Notamacropus eugenii: one gene and its partners. The protein of the gene in region 2 purifies or fractionates together with the protein of the main gene of each other region. This does not show direct contact. Links are inferred from orthologs where the notes say so. Each region holds a gene or a part of one and is shown on either strand. Other genes may lie near its edges.

Region 1 (7,227 bases), on a different chromosome or scaffold from region 2:
ACAAGCCAATAAAAATTAAAATGGTAAAGTGAAGTATCAATCCAGCCTTGGTCACTTAAACAGTGTGACCCTAGGCAAGTCACTTAACCTGCTGGCCTCAGTTTCCTCAAATGGAAAATAATAACAGCACTTACCTCCCAGAGTTGTTCTGAGAATCAACTGAGAAAATTTGTAAAAATCAAAAAGGTCTTACATACATGTTTATTTCCTTCCCCTTCAATCCACCACATTTTAAAGTTGCTGGAGCAGGATTAGTAACTGCATTACATACTACTGGACAAGTAATTATTATACCATACTATGCACTTAGCATAGATCTAGAGCTAGAATGAACCTCAGGGGCCACCTAGACTAATTCTCTCATATATGGAATAACTCAGGCCCAGAGGGCTCAAGCAATACGTAGCCATTATAGATAAATGTCAGAGCAAGGATTCAAACCACAACACAATGCCTTCCTTCAACGTTGTAAGCTATAATGTATTTCCTTTCTGTATTGGGTAATCATATTAACAAAGGACCATAACACAACGAGGGTCCTGCTAGTCCTAAATACAACCTCTTCGAGGATGAGGAATAAAAAAGTTAAAGAGAAAAATGATAATCCGGGTAATTGTTTTATGTGTCGAAAATAAGATTCATACAGGATATAGTTATCTCATAATATCTCATGATAATCTCTGTACATTTCTATGTATCTGTGATTTCATTAATCTTGCTGCTCTATACAATGATTCCGAATGTAGTAACAGATCCACACCTTCCAAGCAGGTGCAATGGGCTAGAGGTTTTCTACAGATTTCTTAACACTGCCTGGATACTAAAGAAGCACACAAACTGTCTGCTTACTACCTGACCTGCCTCCCCTCCTCTTTTAGTCATATGCCTCCCTAATCAGCACTAAAGGTGACTTAATTAACCAAGAAATGTTTGCACATCACCTCAAAGTCACAACAATGAATGAACACATTGTGTATACACTTCAGACAGTACTCAAAGCTGGAATACAATTTTTAAGTCATCAGTTTTAGTTGCTGTCAATTAAAGTCCTATTTCTATGTCTGTCTGTGGCATGGAATTGGGCTCTGGATTCTCAAAGGCTATGTTAGTGGAATGAAATCTTTGGCAGGTAAGCACTGGTCAAGTTTCATATATGGATAGGATTATTTTTTGGCCACAACACTTCATGAAAAAAGCGTGAAAGGATCATAATCTGCATTGCAGGAGGGAGCATCAAGTACTAAAGAAATTTCACTTAAGTGTATGTTTTTTATTTAGGATCAGAATATGAATGGAGAGCCAGAAGGGATTTCACAGATCACTAACCTTCTCTCTTTTATATCAATTTATTCCAAATTGAGAAATGAGAAATCAAAATAGGTAGAAATGCTAAAAGCTTAGCTTTCTTCAGGTCTGTAATAAACAGAGAAAGACATATTCTGAACTTAGTGTTTTATGTTCTCAAGATCAATTAGTTGACAGATGTGTAAAGGTGATTCTAAGAAACGGTTAAAATGTTCATAGGCATCACGATGGCTGTTTTTTTAGAAAAATCCACAAATTTTTAAAAGAAAATGCACAGGAACCATGAGCTACTAAAATGCTTTTTAAAAACTTTCCAAATGAATTTCTTAAAAATACAAGTTATGTATTGTTGTTCACAGTGCTTACACTATTGACATCTAAAGTAAGTTTGAAATAAATTAGTACGTTATTGCCACTAAGCTAGATAGCCAAAATTTCCAAAAAGAAAAAAAATGATTTTCAGCGTGGAAAAAAGCTAGGCCGTTTTAAACACATGCTCTCTTTTTTTAATTCAGCAGCCACTGGGGGGGGGGGGGTGAGGGCGGTACCTTCTCCAGCATTTTCCGCTCTCTCTCCATGGCGACGGCTTCCAGTTGTTTTTCCTCCTCCAGCATGGCTGGGGTGATCACCGGGGTGTCGTCCTGTGGCTGATCCATCTCTGCCGCCACGAGCCCTGCGTTCAATGGAGGAGAAAAATGGTTTTTGGTACCAGGTGCGGATGCTGCCCCGCCGAGCCGGCGGCGGACCCCCACCCGGACGTGCGGCCCCGGCCCGGTCAGGATCGCTCGGGGGCGTCAGCGGGAAGACAAGAAAGACTTAGCTGGCGGGGGCGGGGGCGAGCCCGCCCAGAGCAGGGAGGAGGCTGGGGCCCCCGCCTCCGGCAGAAGCACAAGCCCATCAAACACCAGCAGGGAAGCTTCGTTCTCGCGGGAAAGGCCGCGCGGGGCCGGCCCTCCCCCCAAGGGCTACGCCGACCGCTTCGCTTCCCCCTCAGTCGCCTCTCCTCAGGCCCCCCGACTCTCCCGCCCCAGGGCCGAGGGCGCCTCACCGTCGCTCTGGTGCAGGCGCTCGGGAGGCATAGCCTGGGCACACGGGCGAACAAGGTGACGGTAGCCGCCGCGCTTCCCTGACGGACCTCCGGAGCAGCCTGCAAACCCGCGCGCCAATTTTCGCCCAACCCCCTATTGAGTCTCGCGAGGCTCGGTCCTCTCTCGAGACTCTCGGGAAAAACCGCGCGCTTCTCCTTCCCAAGTCCCCGCCCCCTCCTCGTTATCCCCTCCCCGTCTCCGCCCCCAGTCTCGCGGGGTTTCCCGTTCGCTCTCTTCCCTCCTCCTTCACAGGGTCCGGTGCGCTGCCGCCTCTCTGCAGGTTTAGTTTCAGTCTGACTGGAGCTTCAGGCAGACGGTTCTGACCACCGGGAATTCATTCAAACAAGAAGAGAGAGTATAGGGGAAGGCGTTTTTGATCTGTTTTTCTTGAAGCACCCGATGCCTCAAGAGGGCGCTAGCCCCGGACACGGGAGCCCCTCCTCAGAGCCACAGCCCGACCTCCCACCACGCCCTCCCCGCTGCTGCGCCTCAGAAGAGGGGGGGATCAGCTTCCGCCGCACGCGGGGCCTGGGAGGAGGAGGGGGCGGGCCTAGAAGCTCGCGGGTGCGCACGTGCGGAGGTTTTACCCCTCTACCGCGTGAGCGCGGACTGCCGGGGGCCGCCCCGCCTGAGCCGGGAGCAGCCAGCGGTTCTTTTTGTCCCCCTTAATTTTGGAATCTTGTAAAGTATTTTTAGCTTTCCTTTCTCACTGCCTGCTGAGTACCTCCTCCGCCCCCCGCTGCGCGCGCAGGTCTCTGAGGAGACACGACGGGCGGCCTTCCTCCCTCCCCCGCGCTTCCGCAGCCGTGACCGGGCCCTGCCCGTAGACGGTGCGTTTTTGCCACGCCCCGTCTGCATCCCCAGGGACCAGCTTCCTTCTTAGATGTCTTCCCTAGCGCCTCACCTGGCGCTCGCTTTCTCTCTCCCCCGCGTTACTTGGTTGTGTCGGTTACTTATGTAGTGAACAATCAGAACTGCTTATGAAGCAGCTGGTACGTGCCAGGCCCTGTGCTGGGCAGAAGAAAAAGCAAAACGATGCCTGCGCCCAGGTAGGCGCCCTCCGGCGGGGAGGCAGCACGTGCGCCCATCGGTGACAGAAACGGGCTGGATACTGAGGAAAACGTATCAGAGGCACTGAACTCTTGTTCAGGAGGAGGGAGAGCCTTCTACGTTCATAAGGGCTAGCTCCCGAGGAAGGCCACAGGAAAGCTACCGTGTGTTCAGACCAACGCAAGCCCTTTTATACTGCTCCGAATCCCGGACTTCTCGCCACACCTTCCGTTGGCCAGGTGACTTCACGTTCTCCTGTCTGGAAGGCTTTCCTTCACAAAGCTCATCAAGTTGACCTTTCACCCGAGGGTGCTAGATCACAACTCTGATCCCTTAACACTGGGAATTTTAACCTGTGGAAGCAGAATTTCTTCCTGGTTTCCCACATCAGTATATACAGAATATGTATTGAATTGAATCTAAGATATCTTTGGGGGGATCATAAAAGGCTGTGCATTTGCATGCTGGTCTCAAAAGAAACCAAGGGCACCAAAAAGCATTCCAGTCTTGGGGACCGAAGGAAGGGCACAGAGCATCATGTGTTCAGAACTGAGAGAAGGGCAGTATGACTGGATTGCAGAATCCAGGGAACGAAGTATAATTAGACTTAAGTTAGTTTATGGGACCAGGCTGTAAGAACTTGAAATGTCAAAGTTTCTATCTGGTCCTGGAGGCAGAGAGCCCCTGGAGTTTTGGGAGCCGAGAGACACGATCAGCTCCGTGCTTCGGGATAATCGTTACTGCAGTCGTATAGATGAGAAAACGAGGGGTGAGAGACAAGGCAGCGAAGCCCATCAGAACAGTTTCGCAATGGTCAGGTAAGAGTTCATGAGGGCCTGACATAGAGAGCTGGCCACGTGGAAGCACAGAGAAGACGGGGTAACGAACGTTGTGGAAATGACCGGGGATGTGGGCCGGGAGTGAAGAATCAAGAAAAACACTGAGGGTGAGAACTGGGGTGGCCAGAAGAATGGTAGAGTCCTCAACAGTAACAGGCAAGTCTGGAAGATGAGTTCTGTTTTCTCCAAGTTTTGGATAACTAGGGGACACAGGAATATTCCATATGGAGTCTGTTGATCCTCAGGAGGAACTTCCTCCTTCACTCATTCAGCAGCATGAGGAGTAGAGAGGAGGAGGCAGATGGCAGAAGAATTCAGGGCTGGGGTTTGACAAGCAGTGAGGTGAAATGGGACAACAGAGCAAAAGATTCAAAAGTCTGAGAGGAGAGCTGAACTAGTCACTAAGAGTTTGAGATGAGGAATGATTATGCTTGAGGGAGACCTGATAGGAAGTTACTGCAAGTCCAGGAAAGAGGTGATCAAAGTCTTAAGGAAAATGGTAGTTATGGGAGTGATGAGGGGATATAGGAGATGTAGAAATAGAAAGGACAAGATCTGGCAAATGAATGACTGTGGAGAATGAGAGAAAAAAATTCTGAAGACCAAGTTACAGAGACTAAGATCAGGCAGGTCAGAGAATCAGGAGAGAGCAGTGTCGAGGAGAGGGTGGTAAACCGGGTCAAAAGCTGAGAAGAGGTCAAGCAAGGGATCAAGGAAAAGCCATTAGATTTGGCATTTAAGAAAACGTTCGGTAACTTTGGGGAGGGGGGTTTCAGTTGAGGTCAGCCGCCAAACTGCAGAGGATTCCCTAGGGAAGAGTGAGAGGAGACAAACTATCACAGAATGCTCCTGCAATAATTTATGTTTCAGCCCATTATATGTACCCACTCTGTGGCCTTAATAAATAAAACTCAAGTTATCATAATTGTTGGTGGCCATATATTATCTAAAGGTTTACTGATGAATGTGCTCTGTGTGCTATATATATAAACAACAGAAATCTCTCCAGTTACTTTATTCCATCTCTAACCAGCTTTTTAAAGGAAACCTGATCCCTCAATCATCCACCTGCTTGTGCAGTTCCTCCTGCCCAAAACTTCCTTAACCTCAATTTAAAGGGAGATCAGAGATGATTAGAGCATTAAATGAACGCTGAGTCAGGAGACCTGGGTCACAGTCCAGAATCTGCTGTCATTTACTACTTTTCTGAAACTGATTTTCCTTATTTTTTAAAACGGGAGTGATAATCTTTGCCTACTTAACAGGGTGATCCCAATAATCAAATTTAATAGCTACAGAAAAAATTTGAAAACCACATAGAGGGTTATATAAATATAATCAGTATAATAAAGCTTTAAATATAAGTTGTAAAATGAGAACACGGACAATTCTTGTCTCTATTTTTTACATTTACTATCAAGGCTGTATCAATTTTATCATAACATGTTTATTACAAAATTGACTTCCAAATACATTGTAATTGTACAAAAATCACTTAATAAAACCATGAAAGTTTCCATTTTTCTTAATGTCAACAAATGAAAAGGTTTTTTAATGCAGCAAAAAGATGATTTCCTTAAGAATGGTCACAATAAGATAAATTCAGCCTGCAGCATATAGTAAAACCTCACCAAGTGAGATTAATTACAGGAAGACTAATCTGAATTAATAAAATATAGAAATGTTATATTCAAAGAAATGAAATTTTACTTATTTCTAGGACATGCAAGAAACCTAAAAAAGTGTGGCATGAAGGAAGCATTGTTTTTAACAAATAAACAAAGATTTATAATTAGCATATTAAAACATTACCTAAGTACTGGTGGGCCCTGCCACCTTGCAATTACATGTTAATGAATGCTTCTAAAAGCATTCTAAAAACACTTTCTCCCAAGTAGCTGAATTTCTTTAAGGTTTTGTTTAAATTCTTCCTTTCCTAGACAATTAAAAGACAAATCATATCTATTCAAATTTTCACAAATATCCAGTGAAGTCCAATTTAATAAAGGTTTATTACATTTGGGAATCTATGACAGCTTTTTATTAAACCCTGGTAATGGCTTGATAGTAAATTAAAATATGCCATTTATGCCACACAGATACAGCTCTTAATTATCAAAAGGGTAGATTATCCACCAGCAAATTTAAAATTCCAGACTGATTTCCCTGTACCACAGACTTTAGGGCTGTTTTATTTCCAATTTGTTCTTGTCAGTTGATGTGTTCTCTTATGGAATGCAAATTAATTTTAATAGCAAACTTAGCAAGATAAGAAACAATTATATTTGTTGCTACCAAAAAAATTACAATGCAGTATAATGTTAACCAAAAATTATCTGGGATCACAGTTTTGAAATACACATGTGCAGCTATACTGAAAGTGAACTGAAACAGAGAAAAGTAACACCAATTCAAAGCTACTGGGACTTCAGAAATTTCAGTGTCTTCTTGCTAATGCTGGATTATCTCCTCAGAGTTCAGTACCAAACTAATCATTTAAAAGCATTTGACCATGGGCATATACACCAAGAGGATCTGAGAGATGTGCAACTTGCTCTCAATGGAAGCTGCTATGAATTCAAGACCTTGGTGCCTTCTAGCAGCATTTAGAGTAAGAATACCCGGCAGTAAACTGGAGGGATGCTGCCTAATATAAAAGGAAATGGAAGTAAGAAAATATTATGCTGCCAACTTTTTTAAAAAGTTACTTTGCATAAGTATACAAGTGAAATAATACTGTATTAAACTTCACATTATGATGACATAATAAAACATTTTCCATCTAAAAGAAAATTTTAATAAAGTAGCTATCTTACACATTGACATATGAACTGTGTACAAATGGCTCATAGGCTATGACATTATGCTACTGCAGTTGCCGATACTGCAAGTCCTTTAGGACCAAAGGCCTGGGGTAATGCTAAGCAAGAAAAATTTGGCAAAAA
Region 2 (6,851 bases):
TTACCTCACCCATGAGGGCCTCCCTAATAACTCCAAATAGAAGAGTCCTTTCCAAGCTAGTATTTCATGCCTGTTTGACCTTTCTTATACATCTTTCTAAGCTGTATTAATGTATATAGATAGCTCATATCCTTTCTATTAAGCTGTAAATTCCTTACTCTATTTGTGTGTGTGTTTTCTTTTACAACATGGCTAATATGGAAATGTTTTGCATGATATCAAATGTATAATAGATATCGAATTGGTTACCTTCTCAAAGAGGTAGGAGGTGAGAGAGAGAATTTGGAACTCAAAATGCTGAAAAATGAAGGTTCAAAAATTTTTTACATGTAATTGGGAAAAATGTAATGAAACTTCAAAAAATTTAAAAAAAAAGAAATGAAGGGGATGGTTTCAGAAAAACCTGAGAAAACTATGAACCAACATAAAGTGAAGTGAACAGAACCAGGAGAACACTGTACATAGTATAAACAATAAGGATTAACATTTATTTTTGCCCTACTTGATCTCTTCATTACCAGAATTCAAGTTTTTCAAGGGAAGATTCTAATTTTATCTTTACATTTTCACAAGCACAAGGCCTGGAATAGTATGCACATAATAAATGTTTTTTGAGGCAACGTGGCATACTGAGAAAAGAAGTAGCCTTGGAATTAGGGGAGACCTGGATTCAAATCTGGCCTCTGTCGTCTATTAGCTATGTGACCATGCTTGAGCAAATTATTTAACTTCCCAGAGACCCAGCTTCTTCATCTGTAAAGTATAAACGACAACACTACCTACAGTATCTACCCCAGAGAGGTTTTGTGAGGATCAAATGAGAATATAAGTAGAACTCTTTGAAAGTGCCATCTCTGCTAAACAGATGTTTTAAGTTCAGCATCAGTACAACCAGTATCAATTTTTCTTTCCTTTACGCTTTGCATTAAAGGATGGTGACTCCCGTACATTACAAATATATATTAAGGATGTTCAGGATGCAATGACTGAACTTTTACTCTTCAAATGATATGCGACAAGTATAAAATGAAAAAAATATCAGTGTTAGAACTAAAGAATATTAGAGCTTAAAGAACTTCAAAGATCATATAGCCCAGCACTTCCCTTATTTAATAGTTGAACAAACTGAAATCAAGAGGGTCAAGTTGACTTGTACAACACTACACAGTGAGTGAGTGACTTGTGACAGAAGTATCCCTTTCCCCACAGCACAAAAAAATTAAAAGCTATTTCAAGACAACAAGGTATGAGAAAAAAATTATCAATTTAACTCTAACTGAAATAGGTAGCTTAGCTCTCTTCTCTGGGTCATAGGATTTAGAGGTAGAAAGGAGTCTTAGAGATCATCTAGACCAATTGCCCCATTTTATAAATAAGGATACCGAATACTAGAGAGATGAAGAACCTTGACCAAGGCCACACAGATTTGTATAAATTTAGGTCCTTGGATTCAAAATCCAGTGCTTCTGTCACACTTAAAGCTTATAACTTACTAAATTCACCAAAATTTCAAATTTTGAAAGCAAAAGATAACATTTTCATTATATGTCAATTGGTAAAACTGACAAGATAATTCTTAAACTGAGATACTTACTATGTCAGCTGTTTCATTTTCATCACCATCTCCATCCTGATTGCTTTGCATTTCATTGCATTTAGCATTCCTGGGCATCACAACACTTGGCTCTGTCTGAGAACCCAAAGCTGATCTTTGTTGCCTGTATTCTTCCTTGGGAAACACAGCTTTTCTTTTTGGAGCCCCAAGTTCTCTGTGTTTCCGTTTGACTTTAGGCCTCTCTTCGTTAGGACTATTTTCTGATAGACTGTGAAGGCTCATCATTTGGCCCTGTTTGCTCTTTTTGACAACAAATGGGAAAAGGAGTACTTGAGCTTGCTTCTGTAAAATTACAGTCTGCTGCGGTGTTAGAGACACGCCAGGGATGCTCTGAGCGGAGTTAGATTCGTTCACCTGTTTAGTTCAATAAAAAACGCAAAGTGTTAGAATCTGATCTTCCTCACAAAGTCCCCTGCTTGACCCATGTAATCCCTAAGTATCTGATGGTCCGCAGAAGATGGAGTTTAACCAGCCCTCATCGCAGCTGTCTCTCTCCCACACCACGGCTCCAATACCGGTATGCCACCAGTTTCCGAACAAGTCCGGAGTGACTTAAAGAAATCACGAAATTAGCACCCACACTGAACTGCATGTCAGCAGAGGAGTCCAGAGCGCAAGAGGCCAAGCCAGGACAAGTCTCTTGTTCACCCTGGGGCTTCATTTCCTCCCCTTCCAAAAGGCTTAGGCTCACCAGGGGCCAGCACCCTCAGCCCAGCCCAGGAGATCCCGCCTACTCCCCTGCTCAGGCTTGTGCAGTCCAGCTCCCCACTTGCTCTCAACCTCCAAAGCCCGCACCTGGAGGGGCTCCCCGGACCCTGCCATTCTCTCCCAGCTCCAGCTGCCTTCCCGCCAAGAGCGCCCGCCAAGAGAAGGCAGCCCGCCAGGGCGGGGACAGAGAAGGCCGGTGCTCGGGCGGAGGAGGCCCGGCCCGGCCGGTGGGCGGGACCGGGAGGCGGAACCGGGAGGCGGAAGCTAAACCAGGCGCTGCCTGGAGAGAACCGGTGGTAGTGGTCACATCGCCTTCAGTCCCTTCGTCATGCCATGTGGGATCACTTGGCTAAGTTACCCGAGTGCTGGGCCATTTCCTTCTCCAAGACCAAGAAGGTTAAGTGACTCGCCCAGGTTCTCAGGGCTAACGGGGCTGAGCTCAGATCCGACCTCAGACAGAGCAATCTTCCGGATCCCGGTCCTGGGCTCTACACACCTGCCACTGGACAGAGCCAATGCGGAGGGGGCTAGGGCGCCCTCCGCCACGGCAAACCCTGCCTGGGCAGTGAGAGGGTGTGCGGGTCTGGTCCCGCAAAGCGACATTAAGAGCTCGGCTTGTGCACTTCGTCCCTTTGTGTCTTAGGCAATCTTACAGGACCTTGGTTTACGTCTCATCCAAATGGAAGCGCCCTCCCCTTTGTCACTGGGTTGTCACGCTTTGAAAACCTTAAAACAGCATATAAAGATGAGCCTGTCAGTGCAGAACTGCAGATTCTCAGAGTTGAAAGGGACCTCAGTGTCCTCCTGGTCCAAATGGCACCTGAGAAATGATTCCTTCTTCAACACAACCGACAAATGGCCAGTTGGCCTCTGCCTGAAAGTCTGCCCTTGGAGGAAACTCAATGGTCCAAGGCAGCCGTTACACTTTGGGGTAGCTCTAACTAAACACCAAGCTAAATTGGCCTCTGCAACATCTGCTCATCACTCCTATTTCTGCCCTCCAAAGTGAAGAATAAGACTGTTTTCTTTTAGAAATGATTGAGAATTATGAACATGGCTGTAACAACCCACTCAAAAAAGTCACAAGAACTCAAAGTGTGGCTGTCCTTTTACCTCTCCAGGTGAAACATCCTTCAACAGGCCTTCATATAACGTGATAATAATGTAATATCATTGGAACCTCAAGGGCCAGAGCCTCAACTAATCAACCAGAAGAAGCAACAGATCTAAGTAAACGCTGAGAACGCCTCCGTGTCAACAAGAGCTGACCTGAGCATTCTTCTATTAATGCCTACCAAGGACAGCGGGCCTTAAGCAGACACTACCTAGAATAAAGGGACTTTCTCTTATCTTAATATTTTATGAACATATACTGTGTTATATCATGTTAATGGTAAAGAAAACAGATATCCTGGGTTGTAATTTCAATCGACACTTTGTCAACTCTCTTATCTTATTGTATTTACAACCTATTCAATTAAGAAAATTCCTTTTCTCATACTATGGTTAAACATATATGGAGATCATAAATTCGAGAGACATAGACATGCTGAGTTGAGATTGCTCTAAAACCTGTTTAAGGCTGGTCATTCTTTTATCAGTCAGAAATCATGTTTTGGCTCTGTGTATGCATGTATCTGCTAGCTAAGGAAATAAACAATATGAATTTCTATATCACCTAGCCTGTTTGGGTCTTTTAACCAAACTTTCAAGTGGACACATGAAATCGAGGCCCTTCACCATGTTGTTCTACCTCTACTGGATCAGCTTATCAATGTCCTCCCTGAAATTATGTACAGTTTTGTGCAGTATAATGTGTTTTGATGCCCCAAAACCACAGGTAATAGTCCAGGTTTGGTCTGAGTAAGGCACAGTAAAAAAGTAATTGGCTTTTAAAAAATGTTTATAGTAAACAATTGTATTTTGGTAACAGCTCAGGTTTAGATATATTGAGTTTCAAGTGTCAATGGAAAATTAGGTAGAGGTATTCTGTAGACAGAAGGAGATACAGATCTGGACATAGAAGAGGAGTCAGATGAGTTATCTCAGTAAGTGGAAGCTGAAGTGGTGGGATTAATCAAATTGCCAAGGGAAATAGTATAGAAATGAGAGAGGGCCAAAAATATAAAAATAGGCAATACCACAAAGAGGAGAAAGAGACAGTGAAAGAAGTGGAAAAACCAAGAAAGTGGTATCCAAAAGGTGGTAGTCAACAGTGTTAATATCTAATGAGAAGAAAAAAGCTTTGATAAACCTGTTAAGCAAACAGAAAATGTGATCTAAGTATTCTTATAAATTATTTTAAAAATTGCAAGGAAAAGAAATATTTGTTCCAATAATGGAAAAAAAAAACTTTTTTTAAAAAACAAAAAAAGGGGAAGAAATTAGTAGACAAAGTTCAGTGGGTTTGAATATGCAAGAATAAAAACTTTGCACAAGAAACTAAAAAATATCTAGTCTAAAATAAAAAGAGTGAGGAAAACAGATTTGTAATGTATCTGATAAAGATTTATCTTCCAGAACATATAAAGAACTGATAGACAGCTATAAAATTAATTTACACTCCCCAATGAGGAATGGCCACAGGTCATGTAAGAGACAGCAAAAGTTAAGTTTCCACAGAAGTTATTATTAGTTGATGAAGTCAGTGAGAATTCAGATAATAAGCCTAGCTGACTGTAGGTGGACTCAACCAATCAAGAGACAGACAGTGGCCTTCAGAAAATTACAAAGTTTCAAATCTACAGTTAGCTGGAACTAGTCAGGGAAAAATGACCTAGAGTTACCAGGAGAAGGCTTTTCTTCACTGAGTTTGCTTAATGAACCTCAAGTATATAAACAGACACTCTCGGCATAATATTATCCCTCCATTTTCTGATCATGGGTCCTATGTTAAAGAATGTGTGGGAGGGGGGATCTCACCAGGGGTGCTTATGTAATGGGCATTTAGAGAAGATCATGACCTAATGGACAATGGACCAATCCGTCTCTTGATGGGATGATCTGTCCTGAGCTAACAGTATAAAGCCAATCTCACTTATGTATCTGACACTCACTCCTCCCCAAAAGAGGAAGGAGGCCCGCTTTGGCCAACGTGTTCAATTCCTCTGAACTCTGCTGCAATAAATTTCCCTTGATACTTTATTAGTGTCAACAGGTCATAAACAATTTTTGAAAAAAAATACAGGTTAAGAACTACATGAAAAGATGTTCAAAATCCCTAATGATAAAAAATGGACAAATCAAAAAACCTGGAAATGTTTTTTGTGCAGTGTGCTCTTGGGCAATTCACTTCCCCTCTAAGCCTCATGTTCCTCATTTATAAAATGAGGGAGTTCTCTTCCAGCTACAGTCATATTCCTTATAACCATTATATTGCCTGAAATGGTAAAAAAAATGATAAAACTTCAGTAGGACACTGTAGAATTCAGTAACTCTGACAAAGCAGAAAACATACATTATTTAGCCAAAAATTGCTGGGAAAACTAGAAGGCAGACTAGCAAAAATTCGTCTCAGATCTATTCCACATTACATTCCCTAAACGTCATATCTACCTTCTGATTAGTCCTGATTTTGAAGTACAGCTGAGAACGATTTCTGAAACGGGAAAAATATCCTTCTCTCCCAGTCCTCTAATCTAAACAACAGGCCAACAACAGGTGGTTTTATTTACTGGTTTGTCTGGGTCTAAAAGCGTATGTTTTATGCATGATTAAAAAACCTTCTAGAATCACAAGGTCAGCTATTGTGTATCAACAAAGCAATCAAACTCTGTGTTCAGCAGCCTTTACATTTAAAGATAGAAGATCTGGTTATAATCCAAGGCTAAAACAATTACCAGTTTTTAAACTGCCCCTACTGCCGCCCCACGGCACTCTACTGCTCACCTCCAGCTCGAGGGTACCTGGAATACCCTTTCTCATCAGCTAAGCTGAGTCCTTTATTCCAAAAGAACACAATCCATTCACAAATCTGCATTATTTACTTCTCTTAGATGCCAGAAAGCTAGATTTTCCTTCACTTCTTTGCACCCCCTTCCGGCGCTCCCCAACAACAGATGCGCAGTAACTACGGGCTTATGGACCGCAGTGCAAACGGACGGAAGGAACACAATAGGCTCCAGCTGGACCGAGAAGACGGCATTTGGGGCCCAGAGGCCTCCCCTGCCTCCCTCCAACCTATTTCTCAACACCCGGGGACCCCCTGGTGGGAATGTAGAGATTTGTGGTGAAAGGGTGGGAAGAGGCCCTGACTTTCATGGTAAAGGGGTGGGATAAAATCAGATAAAATATTAAGTGAAAGTAAAAAGCTACAACAGTCAATCAAGGAACTTGAAAAGCTGCAAACATTCAAACCAGTTAAATCCAGGAGCTCCCGGGCCACCCTCGCTCGCACCCTCCACGGAGGCTCTCACCCCCTACTAAAGGCTGCTCCTGAGCCTCAGCCCACCTTCGGGGTCCCTTCCGCCCTGGATCCTCTGATCTGGAGTGCCGGTGGCAGGGCCGAGGCTCACAACCCAGCCGTCCC
Region 3 (7,973 bases), about 62 Mb from region 2:
TCAGTCCAATTTTTTCATACAGTAGAGGAGGAATATTAAATGAGGAAACTGAGGCATAAATAACTTGACTAAAGTTACACCAAGTTAGAGGCAAAGTGAATAGAGTGTTAGGCCTGGAGTCTGGAAAGACTTGAGTTCAAATACAGACTCAGATACTATGTGACCTTGGACAAGTCATTAATCTCTGCCTCAGGTTCCTCACCTATAAAAAAGGAATAATAATAGTGTCTTCTTCCCAGAGGTGTTATGAGGATCAAATGAGATAATATTTAACCTTAAAGTGCTACATAAATACTAGCTATAATATTTATAATAACAACTATTTTTAATTACTATTTAAATGACAAGCAACAGAAGTAGAATTCTAACTAGGGCCAATGCTCTCTCCATTGAACCATACTGATGAATATTACTAATGTGGGCAAGGTCTTTTAACGTTTTAAAACTTCAGTTCCTTTATCTTTAAAATAAGGGGGTTGGACTAGATGCTGTTAAAGGCTCCTTCTAACTTTAGATCTATGAACCTACTTAATTCGACTCAAGGTCCAGCATTCTATCTACTGCACCACCTAGATGCTTCTCTTAGCTGTCTGAGAAACTCTAAGGTTGTGGTTGTGGTAAAGATAGTAGGTAGAGAGGGACTTTTTGGACTCAGGACTTCTGTTTACCAATGAAACCACAAGTCTTCAAAATAATTCCATAGAGAGAATCAAAAGTAACCCAGAAAAAGGAGAATTCAAACCTTGGTATAGAAATCTATCAAATACAGTGTCTAGTGTGAGGGCCACATTCCCAGGGAACCCACTAATTCTGGAGCTCACAAGTCTATCCCTATTGTATCGTACTATAACCTTTCCTCAAATATTGCCCTAACCCTCATCCTCCACTCCAACCCTCTACTCCCAAATCTAGATCACTTGATCATCACTTTTTCCATTTTATAAATCTGATAATACTAATCTTTACTGTATCTTTGTCCTGGTTTAAAGAAGCCAAGAATCACTGGGCAACTTAGACTCCATTTCAATTAAATTCTTGATCTCACCAATTAAGATCCTGACCAGAGTGCTTACTGTACCAAGAAGATTAAACAGCCAAGGAAACATTCCATCTTTTGTTTTGACAATTCAGGTAGGCCTAAAATAATTGTGAGTAAGTGCATGATATAGAAGTTAGAAGATCAGCCTTGGAGTTAGGAAGGCCTAGATGAAATCCCAACTCTTCTACATCTGTGACGATGGGCAAACCACTTATCCTCTCAGCATCCCCAGACAACTAGGTGTCAAAGAAGGGTGCTGGATCTGGAGTCAGGAAGACTAGAGTTCAAATTCTAGCCTTAGACACTTACTGACTGTGTGACCTTGGGCAAGCCACTTAATCTCTGTCTGCCCATTTCCTCAAATGTAAAATGACAATTATTAGATCCCCTACCTCCCAGGGTTGTTGAGAGGATGAAATAAAATAATATTTGTAAAGCATTTAGCACAGGGCTTGGCAAATAGTAGGCTCTTAAAAAATGTTTACTCTCTTTCTCTCCTTCCCAGGCAATTTTCTAAGGCTGTAAGTTAGAGATGGGCTGTGGACCAGCATCAGAGAAGAGTGTTTCCTGTCACACTGATGAAGTCAAGTTTAAAAAAAAAAGTGTGATGATTCCACATCATTAGACTTCTAAACTGAAGTGAGATGTCACCTCTGTGACATTTTCCTTTATCTCATTTTATGTGATTTTTCTTTTTTTTTTTTTGCATTTCATCTTCCATTTTTAATTGAAGTAGGACTACGAACTGCTTTGATTATTTACTGTAGTTTATATGTCTCCAGAAGTTATTTGCAATATTTGTTTAGTGGACTGAATCTTTTTTTTTTAATTAAACTAGAACAAAGAACTCCCCTAGTAGTATTACTTGGATGTTTTATGGGACCTTGAATGCCATGCCAATGGAACATAAGTTCTCAAACACGAAAAAGTTCCATGTGGTGCCCTAGTGAAAGAAATGGTACAAAAGACATTATCAAGGACATGTATGATGGGCAAAGGAAACCTACCACTCATGGAACAAGTGATATAACACATGCACAGACTAAGTATTACATTTTAATACACAGACGAGTAAAGGAGACAGAGAAAGATCTTTAGCAAGGGGGATAGATAACCCATGAATGATTCATGGAAGAATATAGACAGTAACACAGGATGAGACAGCAGGGATAGGCTGCAATTTGTACCATTGAAGGGGAGTACCTTCAATAATGAGGTCAAAGATTCATTTAAATATCAGAATTAAGCAATCAGCAAACACTAATCAAGGGCCTTTTATATGCATGGAATGGTGCTGAAACCTAAGGATAAAAAGACAAAAATGAAACATCCCAAAATACGGATTACGGGATAGGATGAATTTGCCTAGATCAGGAGTGGGGAACCTTCAGTCTCCGGCCACATGTGGCCCTTTAGGTCCTCAAGTGCAGTCCTTGGATTGAATCCAAACTTCTCAGGACAAATCCCCTTAATAAAAGGATTTGTTATGTAAAACTTGGACTTAGTCAGAAGGCCACATCCAAGGACCTAGAGGGTCACACATGGCTTCAAGGCCAAAGGTTCCTCACCCCTGGCTTAGACTGACGTGATATGGACATTGTTTATGCTTTCCTACTCTCCTGGTATGGCATAATTAAAACTTGTTTGTCTTTTATAGTGCAATACAAACCTCATAGTGTTAAAATTGCTGAAATTTAAGGAGTTGAGAAAAATGATGTCATTGTGTAGGTTTCATAAATTGTATACTTTTTAAAAATTACATTTCTTGATTGTTATAAGGCCTTACAAACATTCCTCTTAATTATTGCTTTCAAACTTTTTTGTTTTTAACTAATGTTTCATTAAGTGATATAGGCTCTTTTCTTAACTAAAATATTTAAAATATTTTACTTGAATTAGTTTGTATGACTGGCTGATTTCATTTCACATCCTAAATATTGACTTAATTCCCTTCATCTTCTTTACTTTTAATCATGTTTTCATTTCTTAGCATTACATTTTAATGCAGTGACTTTACATTTGATTTTTTCAGCATGGAATGTACAGCACAAACTATTTTATGGGTATGGGGATTTGTTTGAAGTGGGAGTCTTTATATTTTGAAAAATGAATGGCATTTGGTGTACTGAGTTGGAACACCAAATTGTTAGGCAAACCAATTCAAACACTGTTTATTCAGTAGTGCCAGTTATTAGAAAGGCACGGTGCTCATTACTGGGAATACAGAAACGAAACAGTCACTGCTCTCAAGAACCTTACAGCATTGCAGTGGAGATCCACCATGTGCAGAAATAAATGTAATACAAAGTTGAGTGTGATGGGGGCAAGGAAGCCAGCTGGACAGTAGTCTAAGAAAGACGAAGATGTTAAAAACATGGTATGAAGAAGACTATTTTCTCTTGCATTTTGTTTTGTTTTGGTTTTTCTCATGGTTTCTCCCATTCATTTTAATTCTTCTATGTAACTTAACTAATGGGAAAATGTGTTTAATAAGAATGTAAATGTAGAACCCATATAAGATTGCAAGCCATCTTGGGAGGGAGGAAGAGAAATTTAAGACTTATGGAAGTGATCATTGAAAACTGAAAACAAATAAATTAATTAAAAAAACACTATAAAGTAGAAGCAGGGTGGCATCTGAGTTTTGTCTTAGTCAATCAATTCATCAGCAAGCATTTATGAAGCACCACTTGGTTTGGGTTAGGCACCTTTGCTAAGGATCTCTCCTGTTCAAAGGAACAGGAGTATTGGAATGAGTAGTGAACCAGAAGAGATTGCCTTCTAGGTATGGATGATCGCTTTACAAATGGGAAGAGATGGGGAAGAGTTTAGGTCATCCAGCTTAGCTTGAACAATGTCTGAAAGGGAATCACATAAAATAAGGCTGAAAAGATAAACTGTAATCAGACTATGAAGGTGTATAAATGTTGTAATAATTAAAGTTGTACCCTTCAAGAAGTCCCTGAAGATTTTGGAACATGACATAATCAAACATGTTTCAGTCATGAGGATGATAACAGTAGCATTTTTATAACACTTTAAGGTTTGCAAAATGTATTATTCCAACTGTTGTGATATCATTGTGATACAGGAGAGCAATGGATTGGGATTTTCTTGTTTAGACAGCTAAGTTTCTGTGGGTAAAACATTTCACCTCTTCTGGCCTCAGTCTGCAAAAGATCTCTTTACAGCTATAACATTTTATGATTGAGAAGTCCACAGTTACGTTCACAGTATGGAGTTACGGTGGGAGGTGGTTGTGGTTGACAATTTTTCCTGAATCTGGGCTGAAGTAACAAAAGGGACTCGTTTACAAAATGACCACTAACCTTTTGTTTTTTTTTTCTCATTCCCTTTGAATTTGCAATTGCCATACTTATTATGGAGTTAAAAGAACTAGAAAGGGAAACCCAGAAGTCATTTCGTTCAGTTTGTCATGCTATCCACTGGACTTAAATTGCAGCTACTGTGCTAATGATTGTTTTGCATAAATTAAATAGCTCATATATAGGCATCAACGTCTTCATTTGCATGTAGACTAAGCCAGAATGTGGCAATGCCCCATCGCACGTATTGGTATCCATGCATCTCAACTATTCATTTGTGTAATACACGTAAAGGCTGCTATCTCTCCGGACTCTTGAGTACACAAGCACACATAAGCGCCCTACCTTTTTTTTTTCTCCTTTACAAATCGAAACAGGCTGGACAAGTTCATGTGATGCAAATGACGTCAGCCTCCATTGGGTCCCGTGATAGACAGACAACCTTCCCTACTCTACCCCACCCCTCCCCTCTGCCACAAAAACAGACTGATCTCGCGAGAAACCTGCGCTCCCAGCGCCTAGACCTTCCCGGGAGGACAGGGAGAGAAAGGGAAAGGTGCGGCTGAGCGCGGGGTGGCGCGTGAAGTCTTTGTTCACACCTCCGTTTGCAACCCGGGGCCTTTGATGCACGCTCCATTCCCAGGCTTCGCTGTGGGAAGCAGTGGAGGAGGTGCAGGCGTGGTGTCCGCACCTGCACCTTTAAGAGCGGCCGGGGGAGCCTGGAAACGGGGGTCCCCTGGGCTAGCTGAAGAGGGAGAACCCCTTCCTGGCTGGGGCGTGGGAGCCAGCCCGGCTCCGCATCCCGGCCGCTTCTGCATCCGGCCTTGGGCTGGCTCCGAGCTGGAAGCCGGGATGCCAAGGCTCCCCACCGGGTGGGCACCCAAGCACTAGGGTACACAGAGGAGCCGGGTCGTTGGCCCCTGCCCCCGGGGAGATCCCGCCGGGACATGGCTCCTGCTATAGTCCGACTCTGAGGGCGCACGGGAAATCGTGCGGAGCAGCGCGGGGGAGGGGGGCTCGTACCGCTCTGCGCCCCCGGGGAGCTTGGTGCAGGGGGGCTGTGCAGGGCCTCCCCGCGCGGCCGGCGATTCATTCCACCCCCGCCTGGGAGGGTTAAAGGGCTAGCTGGCCGGTTTGGCCAGTTGGCTTTGCCTGGCCGGCCGCTCCCGGGGTGTGGAGACCCTTTCCCTTACTACAAGGCGTATCTGCCTGTCTGTGGGTCTGTCTCTTCAGACCTGTTTGCAGAGACCCTGTTCCTGCGTACCCCTCCTCCTCCTCCTCCCCAGACCATTTCAAACTGTGTGTGTGATCCCGTCTTTTCTAATCTTTTTGCACTCTCTGCCTGGGTATACCCCTCCTTCCCAGCGCGCGCGCGCGCGCACACACACACATACACACACATTGCGTGCTGAGAGGGTTGTGTCGCTAGAGGGAGGTGTGGGACAGAGAAAAGGGGGGCATAGAAGAGGGGGTGGCCCCGCAGTAGCTTGAGGAGGGGCTGGGGGACAGCAGAGACGCTGAGGCTGAACTGTGCTCGCCCTGCTACTGCCCACCCCGGGTGCCCAGCGCGCTCGGTGCCGTGCCTCCTCTCCATTCCCAGAGAGCTGCATAGGTACCCCAGCTGGCCGTCGGCTGTCACCGGCGGGGCGGGGAAGGGGAGGGGAAGCCGGCCAGAGGAGCCGAGCTTCCCATTGCTCTGGCGCTCCTTCGCGCACACCCACCCACCCACCCACCCACTGGAGTGGAGAGACTGAGGCTGCTGACAGCTGCAACTGGACTGGAGTTGTCTCCGTCGGGCTTCTCTTCCTTCCCCTGCCCCCTCCCCACTCCACTCCACCCCCTCTCCACCCTTCCACTCCCTCCCCTCCGCCTTTACTCCTTGTCCCCAGTTCATATCGTTTCGCAACTGCTCGCCTCCTGCCCCGTGGCTGGCTGAGTTTTTTCTCTCTCCACCCCCCACCCCCAATTCCTGGCACCTTTTCTATAATACTTTCCCCCCTCCTCCAATTGGGGAGTGGGGGTGGCAGAGAGGGAGGGTGGAGCGTCCAGAGCCGGAGAAGAAAAAGAAGGAAGCGGGAGCAGAAGGATTGTACGATTGTGGAGAGGGGACCCTACGGCACTCTTTCTTTCCCATTGCACCCTTCCTACCTTCCCTCCCCCCCAAGTCCAGATCCAGCCACTTTTTTGGACGAGAAAAGTGAAGGAAGACGGCTCGGGGGTGATAGCGACACAGGGGCCGGTCCCAGGCAAGCAGCAGCACCTCCCGTCCCGTCTCATCCTCCTCCCTCTTCGACAGGAGCCAGCTCGGACCTATGATGGCCTCAACTACAACCTGCACCAGGTTCACCGACGAGTATCAGCTTTTCGAGGAGCTTGGAAAGTAAGCGTCCTTGCCTGGCGTCTGCGGGTCCCCTTTCCTGCAGAGGGCGAGTCGCGTTACCCCCGACCCAGCAGTCCTTTACCGTTAGGGGGTCGTGGGAGTTTAGAAAAGGGGAGGGGGGAGGGGGAAAAGGCTAGCTTGACAGTTGGGCAAAAGGTACTGATCCTTAGGGTGAGGGCGGGGGAGTAGAAAGGGAAGACCACCAGGCTGTGTCCAAGGCTGATAATCCCACCCACCCTCCTTCCCCACTCCCATTTTGCAAGAGAGCCTTCGTGAATTTATGATCCTTGCAGTTGGAGCTGTCATCCTCTGGAGTGTGTATATATGCTTGTGAAAGGCAGGAAATGAGAACCCATGTAAAATGCAACATAGATCATGTTTTCTGTAAATAGAGATGCCTCCAGGGTTTACCGGCGTGTCTGCTCAGTGATACACGTACGGATGAGAACCTCACTGACACAGACGGTGCCATATTTATTGATGCCGAAAGTTCAAGTTGGCGTTCAGTCTGTTTTGTATCCAGTAGTTCTGTCAAAGAAGACAGCAGCCCAGTGTGACATATATATCTATATATCAAGCACCTACATCTTCAGCTACTGTAGGGAGGGGAAAAACTTTCTGGAATTTTTGTCACACCATTCTTCCCAGGATATAGACAGTCTCCCCTAAGAGGATTAATTTAAATGTGCATGGAGGAAAAAACCTCTCTGGAAAGGGAAGAGTCCTGTTTTGTGTATGTGTGTGTGTTAAAGATTATATATAGATACACACATACACATAGTGACAAAAATACTTGCCAGTTTTAAAGAACAGGGAGAAAGATATAAACAAGGAAACTCATTATAAAGAAATCTAACCTAGAGGCTCAGCCACAGTGTTACAGCATCACCCCCAAATGAAATCTGTTCTCATTCATATCTACAGCTTGATCTATTACTTGGAGAAGGGGTGTGTGCATATGTCTGTTGGTGGCTGATGAAGGCAAATAAAAGGAAATGTAAATTTCATTGTGTAAGTGTATTTATTCTGTATGATACTCTTACACTGAGTGGTACTGCATGCACACACACATCTATATACACACGTACATACACATAAAAGGTCAGAAGAGGCAGTTTAATTAAAAGCCTTTTTTTTAACCAAGGCATAAAGAAATCATCGTGCCAGAATTCATTAACTCACACAAATATGCTCAATATTTATATTTCTCTGAGAACAATTATCATAT
Region 4 (7,526 bases), on a different chromosome or scaffold from region 2:
CTTTGGCCCTGCATTACTTAACATCTTTTTTATCAATGACCTGGAAAAGGAAGAGAAGGTATGTTTATCAAATTTGCAGATGTCAGGAAACTGGAATGGAATGCTAAAACACTGGATGACAGAGTCAGAATCCAAAAACATTTTTTTTATGCTTACAACCATTTATTGAACATATTAACAACACATCTTGAATTAGGATTTGGCTAAGTTTCACAATGGAGAAGCTAATGAAATACTCAACATAACCCGCCCCCCCCCCCCCCCCTGCAGTCCCTATGAACCTATGCAGGGCTTGAACCCACCTGCACAATTCCAAAAACATTTTGACAGGTGAGAATGACTGATCAAATCTAATAAGATGAAATTTACTTTCTTAGCTCTCATCAGTGTTCCTTCTAATAGGGAAACAAACTGCAACTTCGTCCATATCTTCTCTCCTCTTGCGCAATTCTTATCCATAAATCCTCTTCAGAGAATCTACCCAAATGAGTTCTTAACCTTTTTTATGTCATGGACCACTTTGATAAGATGGTGAAGCCTATGAACAACTTCTCAGAATAATATTTTTTAAATGCACAAAATAAAACACATAGAATTGAAAAGGGAAGCAAATGTATTGAAATATTTATCAAAACATCTTTTAAAAAATAAATCAAGTTCACAGATCCTAGGTGAATAACCCTTGATGAGTATTTTATTAGTTCATGGGTATTAGCATAACTTGAGTTCTCATTATTCCCTATGTGCCCTCCTTTTACAGCTAATCTTCTATTATTTATTTTTTTGCCATTTGTACCTAAGTCAGTGTCGATAATATTCTGCAGGGAGACACAGAATACCATCCCCTTTAACTGCTTTGCAGAGTTAAGGGGTCCATGAGTACGAGCCAGGCCATGTGTTAGTTTTTTCTACAAATTTACTAAGAACAGCATGGAGTAGCTGCTAAAAAAAATAATTTATACACAATTCTAGATGAGTACTCAAAACAAGGAAGGTGATAATCTAACCAACTCAATCCTAACTGGGTCACATTTGAAATAGTTTACTTATTCCTGGGAACCACAATTTAAGAGTGACGCTGAAAAATAGGGTGAGAAGCCCAAGAGCTATCTTTAAATACTAGAAACCACACCACTATCTTTGCCAAAGAAAACCCAAAATGGGGTCCTGAAGAACAACAACAACAAAAATTGTTTCTATCTTCACATCTTTTCTCAACTCAATTAATCAAACATTCATTAAGCATCTATTATGTGGCAGACACTGGCTGGGATACAAAAAAGAAGTAAAGGTCAGGCCCTGCCCTCAAGCTTTCAAATCTAACTCACCACAACCACTCTAGTTAAATCTTCACCACCTCTTCAGGGACCTGTTAGCTTCTTAATTCAATCAATCAATCAACATTTATAAAGTGCCAGCAGACCCTGTGCTAAGCCTTGGGAATACCAAAAGAGGCAAATGACAGTCTGCCTTCAATGATCTTACAATCTTATGGGGGAGACCACACCCAAACAAATAACGAACAAAGCAAGCTATATACAGGATAAATAGGAAATAATTAACAGAGGAAAGGCACCAGAATTAAGAGGAGTTAGGACAGCCTTCCTATAAAAGATGGGATTTTATGTATAACCTACTATGGAATTGCTTGCCTTGGGAGTGGGGGAAGACGGAGAAGGGGAGAGTTTGGAACTCAAGATTTTGAAAACAAATGTTAAAATACTTGTTTTTTACGTGTAACTGGGGAAAAAGTAAATACTAAATACCGCCCCCCCAAAAAAGATGGAATTTGAGTGGGGATTGAAAGGAAGCCAGGGAAGTCTGTAGACAGAGTAGAGGGAAAGCGTTCCAGGCACGGGGGGCAGCCGGAGAAAATGGAGTGTCTCCAAGTCTCAGTTCTTCTCTCTGCCTCCTTTTCCCAATGGCTCCTTATTGCCTCTAGAACCAAATACAAACTCTCATGTTTATCACTGACGGATCTTCCTGCCTTCCCAGGGCTTGGCACAAGGGCTGGCACAGCGCAGGCCCGTAATAAAGGCGTACTGTCTTACTACACAGAACTGTCCTCGCCCGGGCACTGCGCTGGTACAGCTTTCAGCAGTGTCCGATTCCGTCGCCCCATCTCGGGGTTCTCCGGGCAGAGATCCTGGCGCGGGGGCCATTTCCTCCTCCAGCTCGTTTTACGGATGAGAACACGGAGACACCGGTTAAGGGACCTGCCCAGGCTGACCCGGCCAGGAATGTCTGAGGACTGCTTTGGACTCACGAAGGCGAGCGCCGCGGGCTCCAGGCCTGGGGCTCTATCTACCCACTTCGCCACCCAGCCGCGAGCGCCTGGCACATAGGAGGTGCTTAATAACAGCGTGTAGACTTGGTCTAGATCCTCCAAGCCTGGAATGCTCCCCTTCCTTCCTTGCACCTCGCATTATTATAGCCTTTAAAGTCCAGATCTCCTTCCCCAGAAAACAAGCCCATGTTTATTTTGAAAAAGAAGCTCCGCGCGTCCTCTGAGCGGCACTGGCAGCGGCTCCTGCAGCATGCCAGCTTCTTAAGGGCAGGGTGCGCCTCCTCTCCCCGTCCCGGTCGCCCACGCCAGCGCAGGGCACTCAGCAGGCCCCACCACTTCTCCGACCCTTCCCCCCTCAGGGCCCCTCCCCCATCGAGAGGCGCCTCCTGTCCCCCACAACGCGGGGCGGCCCCCAAAGCTCCGCTCTCCCTCGCCGCCCCCTCCCCTCTCAGGTTCTTTTCTCTCCGCTCGCCCCACCCCGCATTCGCCGCCCTTCGGCAGCTCCCTCACACCGTCCTCCCTCCGCTTCCGCGACACCTCCTCTCCATTTCCTCATTCCGACACTAGGGTGCATCCTCGACTCCCCTCCTGGTCTTACCTGGCCGCGCACGCGCGCGTCCCTCCTAGGGGCTACAGCTCCCAGGACCCGCTGAAGGTCCCACTTTCAGGACTCACTCCGTCAGCCACTTCCCCACCCCCATCTCCTAGTAGCTGCTGGGGCAGCCTCCGGCGCCGCCGCCGCCGCCCAAGCCCACAGTTTGAACTGCAGCGCCGCCCCCTCGTGCTGAGTCCTCATTGGTCAAACCAAGGAGACATCATGGTACACATGCGCACTCTCACAGCCCCGGCAGGGCGGGAGAAAGAAGGAAGGTTGCTTGGGAGAAGGGAGCCTGGAGCAGGACGGGGGGAGCATCGAGTCTCTATCTCCTCAGGCCGGAGGGAAGCTTGAACTACAAATCCCAGTATTCCTCGCGGCTCCCTAAGGGATTGGGCAGGGGCCCGGGTCAGAGCGGGAAATGGAGAAGGGGTGATAAAAGGTAGAGGTCGGGGCAGAGAATTTAGGAGCGACGATTGTAGGGACTGAGGAACTTTAGAAGGCCAGACTGTGTTGAAGTTTCGGTTTCTGACCTTGAAAACCGCAAACTACAAGTCCCAGGATTCTGTGCAGCTAAGTAAAACCTTCTTCCCGTTGGCCACGGTTAGGGGCGGGGAGGGCTGTAGGTCCCAGCATGCCCCGGGGCGAGGCGTACAGAGGTTGGGAGGCTGTGATGATGATGGTTACCATGGAGTTGGGCTAAGCGTGCCGCTGTCTACGGGAAGGCAAAGGCTGAAGAAAACGGAGCTGGTGAGCTTGGGCAGCAGCTGGTGAGCGCACTGGGCAAGGACTGAGGCGGATACAGGTGTCATGCCAAGCATAGGTAGCCCTATTACAAGGGCCTGAGGTGGCCCCAAAGCAGAGACAGCTAAGCTGTAAGAACCTGAGGTAGTCCGGGGAGAAGGTAGCTTGGGAACCCCATTTATTATTCACTCAGCAGACATGAAGTGCCTACTATATTCCAGGCACTGGGATAAGCACTTTGTTCAAAGACAAAACGAAAAAGTTCTAGCAGTCAAAGAGAATACGTTCTTTTTCGGAGAAACTCCAGTAACAGATAAGTAAAATGGGAAATAATTGGGGAGGGGGCATGGCAAGTCAGGGGCGGTAAGGTCAATTGGGGAGTGATCGAGATTGGCCTAGTGAAGAGGTATTTGAATTTTAACCTTGAACTAAGGGACTAAAAAGGTGAAAAAAAAAATGTATACCAGGCATGGGGGTGAGGTGGAGCAGGGACAGCTTGAGTAAAGGCACAAAGGCTAGTTTGGCTGGAGGGCAAGGTGTCTGAAAGGAGTAAGTAATAAGCCTGGGAAAGTAGGCTGGAGCCAGTTTTTGAAGGGCTTTAAATATCAAACAAAAGTTTGTATTTTAACTTAGTGACAATTTGGGAGCATCTGGAGCAGAGGAGTGACCTATGCTTTAGGAATATCAGTTTGGCAACTCTGTGGAAGATGGAATGGAGAGGCCAGAGACTGGAGGCAGGGAGACCAATTAGGGACTTTTGAGGTACTTGCTAGGCATGACAGAGGGTGGGTACTCCCCTCCCCATTTCTGTAGCCTAAGAGTTTCAAATTCCTAGAAGCAGACTTTGGCACCATACCATTGGGATGGTGAAGAGGAGACCACCACCAAAATGGGGGAAAGGGTGCTTTCAATCTGAGAATATGGGGGTTCTGACAGAGGCAAGACAGCCAGCCCAGATGGAGGCTATTTCTTGATTTTCTCCCCTTTTCGGTAAGACAGCTCAGACATTAATAGCCACCTAATATATCAAGTAACTAGAAATTTTGGAACTGGGTAAGCAACTTCCTACACCCTTTCCACTTTCATTTACTCTATGAAAGCCCAATTAAATCATTAATGGTATTCCCTTTATCCTGTTTCCTTTAATACTCTATCTTCATGTGCCCATGGAAACATAGATGTCTCCAGAAGACACAGAATCACTACTTCTTGGGTGCTGTTTGCTCCTCTCATTTCTCCTAATAGGCTTGGACAGAAGAAAAAATATATTCCTGGTTCCCCAGTGACACTTCTAAACCCTCCATCTGCAGTTATTACTCAGCAAATACTCCCTCTTTTTAGGCCCATTGCATTCTTCTGAATGGTAGTTAACTGGCATAGTGAATAGAATGCTAGGCTTGGAGTTAGGAAAACTTGAACTTAAATCCTGTCTCAAACAGAGTACCTTTGTGGTGCTAAGTAAGTCATGTAACATCGTTCAGCATTTGTTTCATCTGTAAAGTGGGCTTAAGACCTATTTTATATCTGTGGTGTTCATCTTTTGGTATGATAGTCACCCTCTCACATTCAGTACTTGGCTCAGTCTTTCCCTCCTCCATCCCAAACCCTCCCTGAATACTTGGGGATTTCAATTTCTACATTGAGGTCCCCTCAAACACCCTGGTCTCCCAACCTATCAACCTTAAGTCACATGACCTAGGTCATCCTTATGCCAAAGCTATCCATAGGGATACTGAATCTTTGATCATAACCCTTGGTACTCTTGCATCATTCCTAAAACTGTCCTTCATCCTCAGCATACCCTTCAGTCCCTCCATCCTTTGTTGTTCTGGTACTAGAGTTGACCGCTTCAATGGCATACTAATGTGTATGTACCCTTGACTCTTTTTACCCTTCATGATCGTGCCAGAGGCCTGTGTTACCCTCACCCTCCTTATCTTCTAATTCTCTTCCAACAGCCCAAAGAGGAAGGCACTCAAAATGACTGCTGATTCAACCCCATTGTTATCTGATCTCAGCTGGGCCCTCAAAGCTGCAGTCTTTTTATTCTGATTCTCAAGATTATTTGAAGTGATTCATCTTTGTTCAAATTCCTATGTACTACACCCTTTCCTCCCCTCTCAGAAGACTTCAATTCCTACCTTAGTGAGAAAAAAAGCAAAGTTATCCATCTATAGTAAGTTCTCCTGTCCTATGATATACCTTAAAATTCCTCCATATCATTCTCCATTCTTTCCTTTTACTCCCCTATCTGGAATACACTTCCTTGGAGAAATCAGTTTTAGTTGAGTATTGAATTTGGAGGCCCACCTATTCTTATTAGAATATTTTATTATTACTATATTAGAATATTACCATATTCTTTCTCCTTTAAGGAAAAGGTCAGTGCCATTTCTTTGAAACGAACACTCTTGCCAATTTCAGATTTTCCTACAGCACTCCATCTTGTATTTGCCCTTATCCCATTTTTGTTCTTATTTGTGTACATACCTGAGCCTTCCCAATTTTATTAGACTTTAAGGTCTCTGACAGTAAGCACTGCCTATTTAAAAATTTGTGTCCCCAGTGCCCCAGTCTCTGATAAAAAGGTGGTGTTTCTTCCCAAGGCTAACTTCTCCATTTGTGCTCTTGATCCCATCCGCTCATCTTCTCTTCCATCATTCTCTGGCTCTTTCACTGCTGCCTGCATCACCCATTATGTCATTGGTCATCTTCAAATACAAAGGACAAACAGCAACAAATGTCACCAAGCCTCCCCCATCCTTAAAAATCTTTCACCTGCCCCATATATTGTTGTTTGTCCTTCCATTTTTGAAGAGGACCAGTGAAGTCACGGGTTGTGTCTCGACTTGTGTATGAAATTCAATTTAAGTGAGGTAGAGTTGCACAGTCATCAGCCTCACACTCCCTTCCTGAGTCACAAAGTCCAGTGGCAGGACAAAAGTCAAGGTGACTGGCCATGGCACAGAATGCAGCATGTGACTTTTGCTTCACAGCACCTGCTTTAGCTACCATCCTGGCCATTGGAATGAACTGTTCTCATCTGCCCATTCTGCTAGGGAAAGTCTTCACGTGCTTGGGGTAGACATTCCCCTAGCCACCAACAGGTTGAAGATCTGTCAGTTACCCTCAGCTTGTTTTAGTCTCTCTGCTGATTGGTTTTACTGGGGTGTGGTTACTGCACATGCTGCAGCTTCCAGGAGCCACAGGTGAAAACTGGATGAATCAAGTGGATATCAAAGATGGATGAGCAGCCCCTGAAAAGTGGCTCAAGAAGCCTTCACACCAGAGGTGCTAGTCCTCCTGAACACCCCATACAATAACCCACCGTCCCTCACCCCTTCACGCAAATATATTACATAAAGCTAGACAAAGAGGGATTTCTCTTTCAGAGCTATGCTATACTTGTTGCCTCTACTTCCTACACCAGCACTTGCCCTGAAACTCCACTATTGGTCTAAAACTGTTTCCTCGCAGATGACACACAATCCTTAGCTACTAAATCTGATACCCTTTTCTACAATCATATTCTTGACCTTTCTGGAACTTTCAACACTATCACTTGCTCCAAGATAGTCTTTTAGTTTGCTTGACATTGCTTTCTTCTGGTTCTAACAGCACCTTCTCTGGTTCTTATGCTATATCATTGATTAACTGAATAAATTTAAGTAGCTACTATTGCCATTCTATCCCAATATGGACAATTTTGATGGGAGAGGCTCTGGCAGCTGGAGGAATTAGCAAAAGCCTCAGAGGAATGGCATTTGAAGTGACCTTTAAGGGAAGCTAGGGATTTTAAGAGGTAGAGGTGAGCTTGGAGAACAGCTTGAGCAAAATCAGAGGCCAAAGGCCAAAGGATCACAGAGCTGGATGTGACTATAGAAGCTATCTCCTCCAACC

What was found.
Region 1: the proteins of WDR76 (region 2) and HELLS purify together in Homo sapiens (affinity purification with mass spectrometry; 4 studies listed by BioGRID and IntAct, counting the BioPlex papers as one, with this or other methods). This does not show direct contact. The link is inferred for Notamacropus eugenii from reciprocal best matches to the Homo sapiens genes WDR76 and HELLS.
Region 3: the proteins of WDR76 (region 2) and CAMK2D purify together in Homo sapiens (affinity purification with mass spectrometry; 3 studies listed by BioGRID and IntAct, counting the BioPlex papers as one, with this or other methods). This does not show direct contact. The link is inferred for Notamacropus eugenii from reciprocal best matches to the Homo sapiens genes WDR76 and CAMK2D.
Region 4: the proteins of WDR76 (region 2) and NUMA1 purify together in Homo sapiens (affinity purification with mass spectrometry; 3 studies listed by BioGRID and IntAct, with this or other methods). This does not show direct contact. The link is inferred for Notamacropus eugenii from reciprocal best matches to the Homo sapiens genes WDR76 and NUMA1.

Annotation. Positions count from the first base shown.
Region 1 is NC_092872.1:211,200,915-211,208,141, reverse strand, and holds the start of HELLS (lymphoid-specific helicase), read right to left. Parts: upstream 3,005-7,227; 5' UTR 2,385-3,004; coding exon 2,354-2,384; intron 1,979-2,353; coding exon 1,854-1,978; intron 1-1,853. UniProt on the Homo sapiens protein: Plays an essential role in normal development and survival. Involved in regulation of the expansion or survival of lymphoid cells. Required for de novo or maintenance DNA methylation. May control silencing of the imprinted CDKN1C gene through DNA methylation.
Region 2 is NC_092878.1:54,056,150-54,063,000, forward strand, and holds the start of WDR76 (WD repeat-containing protein 76), read right to left. Parts: upstream 3,022-6,851; 5' UTR 2,438-3,021; coding exon 2,411-2,437; intron 1,970-2,410; coding exon 1,595-1,969; intron 1-1,594. UniProt on the Homo sapiens protein: Specifically binds 5-hydroxymethylcytosine (5hmC), suggesting that it acts as a specific reader of 5hmC.
Region 3 is NC_092878.1:115,955,004-115,962,976, forward strand, and holds the start of CAMK2D (calcium/calmodulin-dependent protein kinase type II subunit delta), read left to right. Parts: upstream 1-4,968; 5' UTR 4,969-4,989; coding exon 4,990-5,237; intron 5,238-6,661; coding exon 6,662-6,745; intron 6,746-7,973. UniProt on the Homo sapiens protein: Calcium/calmodulin-dependent protein kinase involved in the regulation of Ca(2+) homeostatis and excitation-contraction coupling (ECC) in heart by targeting ion channels, transporters and accessory proteins involved in Ca(2+) influx into the myocyte, Ca(2+) release from the sarcoplasmic reticulum (SR), SR Ca(2+) uptake and Na(+) and K(+) channel transport.
Region 4 is NC_092876.1:96,760,669-96,768,194, forward strand, and holds the start of NUMA1 (nuclear mitotic apparatus protein 1), read right to left. Parts: upstream 3,020-7,526; 5' UTR 2,886-3,019; intron 1-2,885. UniProt on the Homo sapiens protein: Microtubule (MT)-binding protein that plays a role in the formation and maintenance of the spindle poles and the alignement and the segregation of chromosomes during mitotic cell division.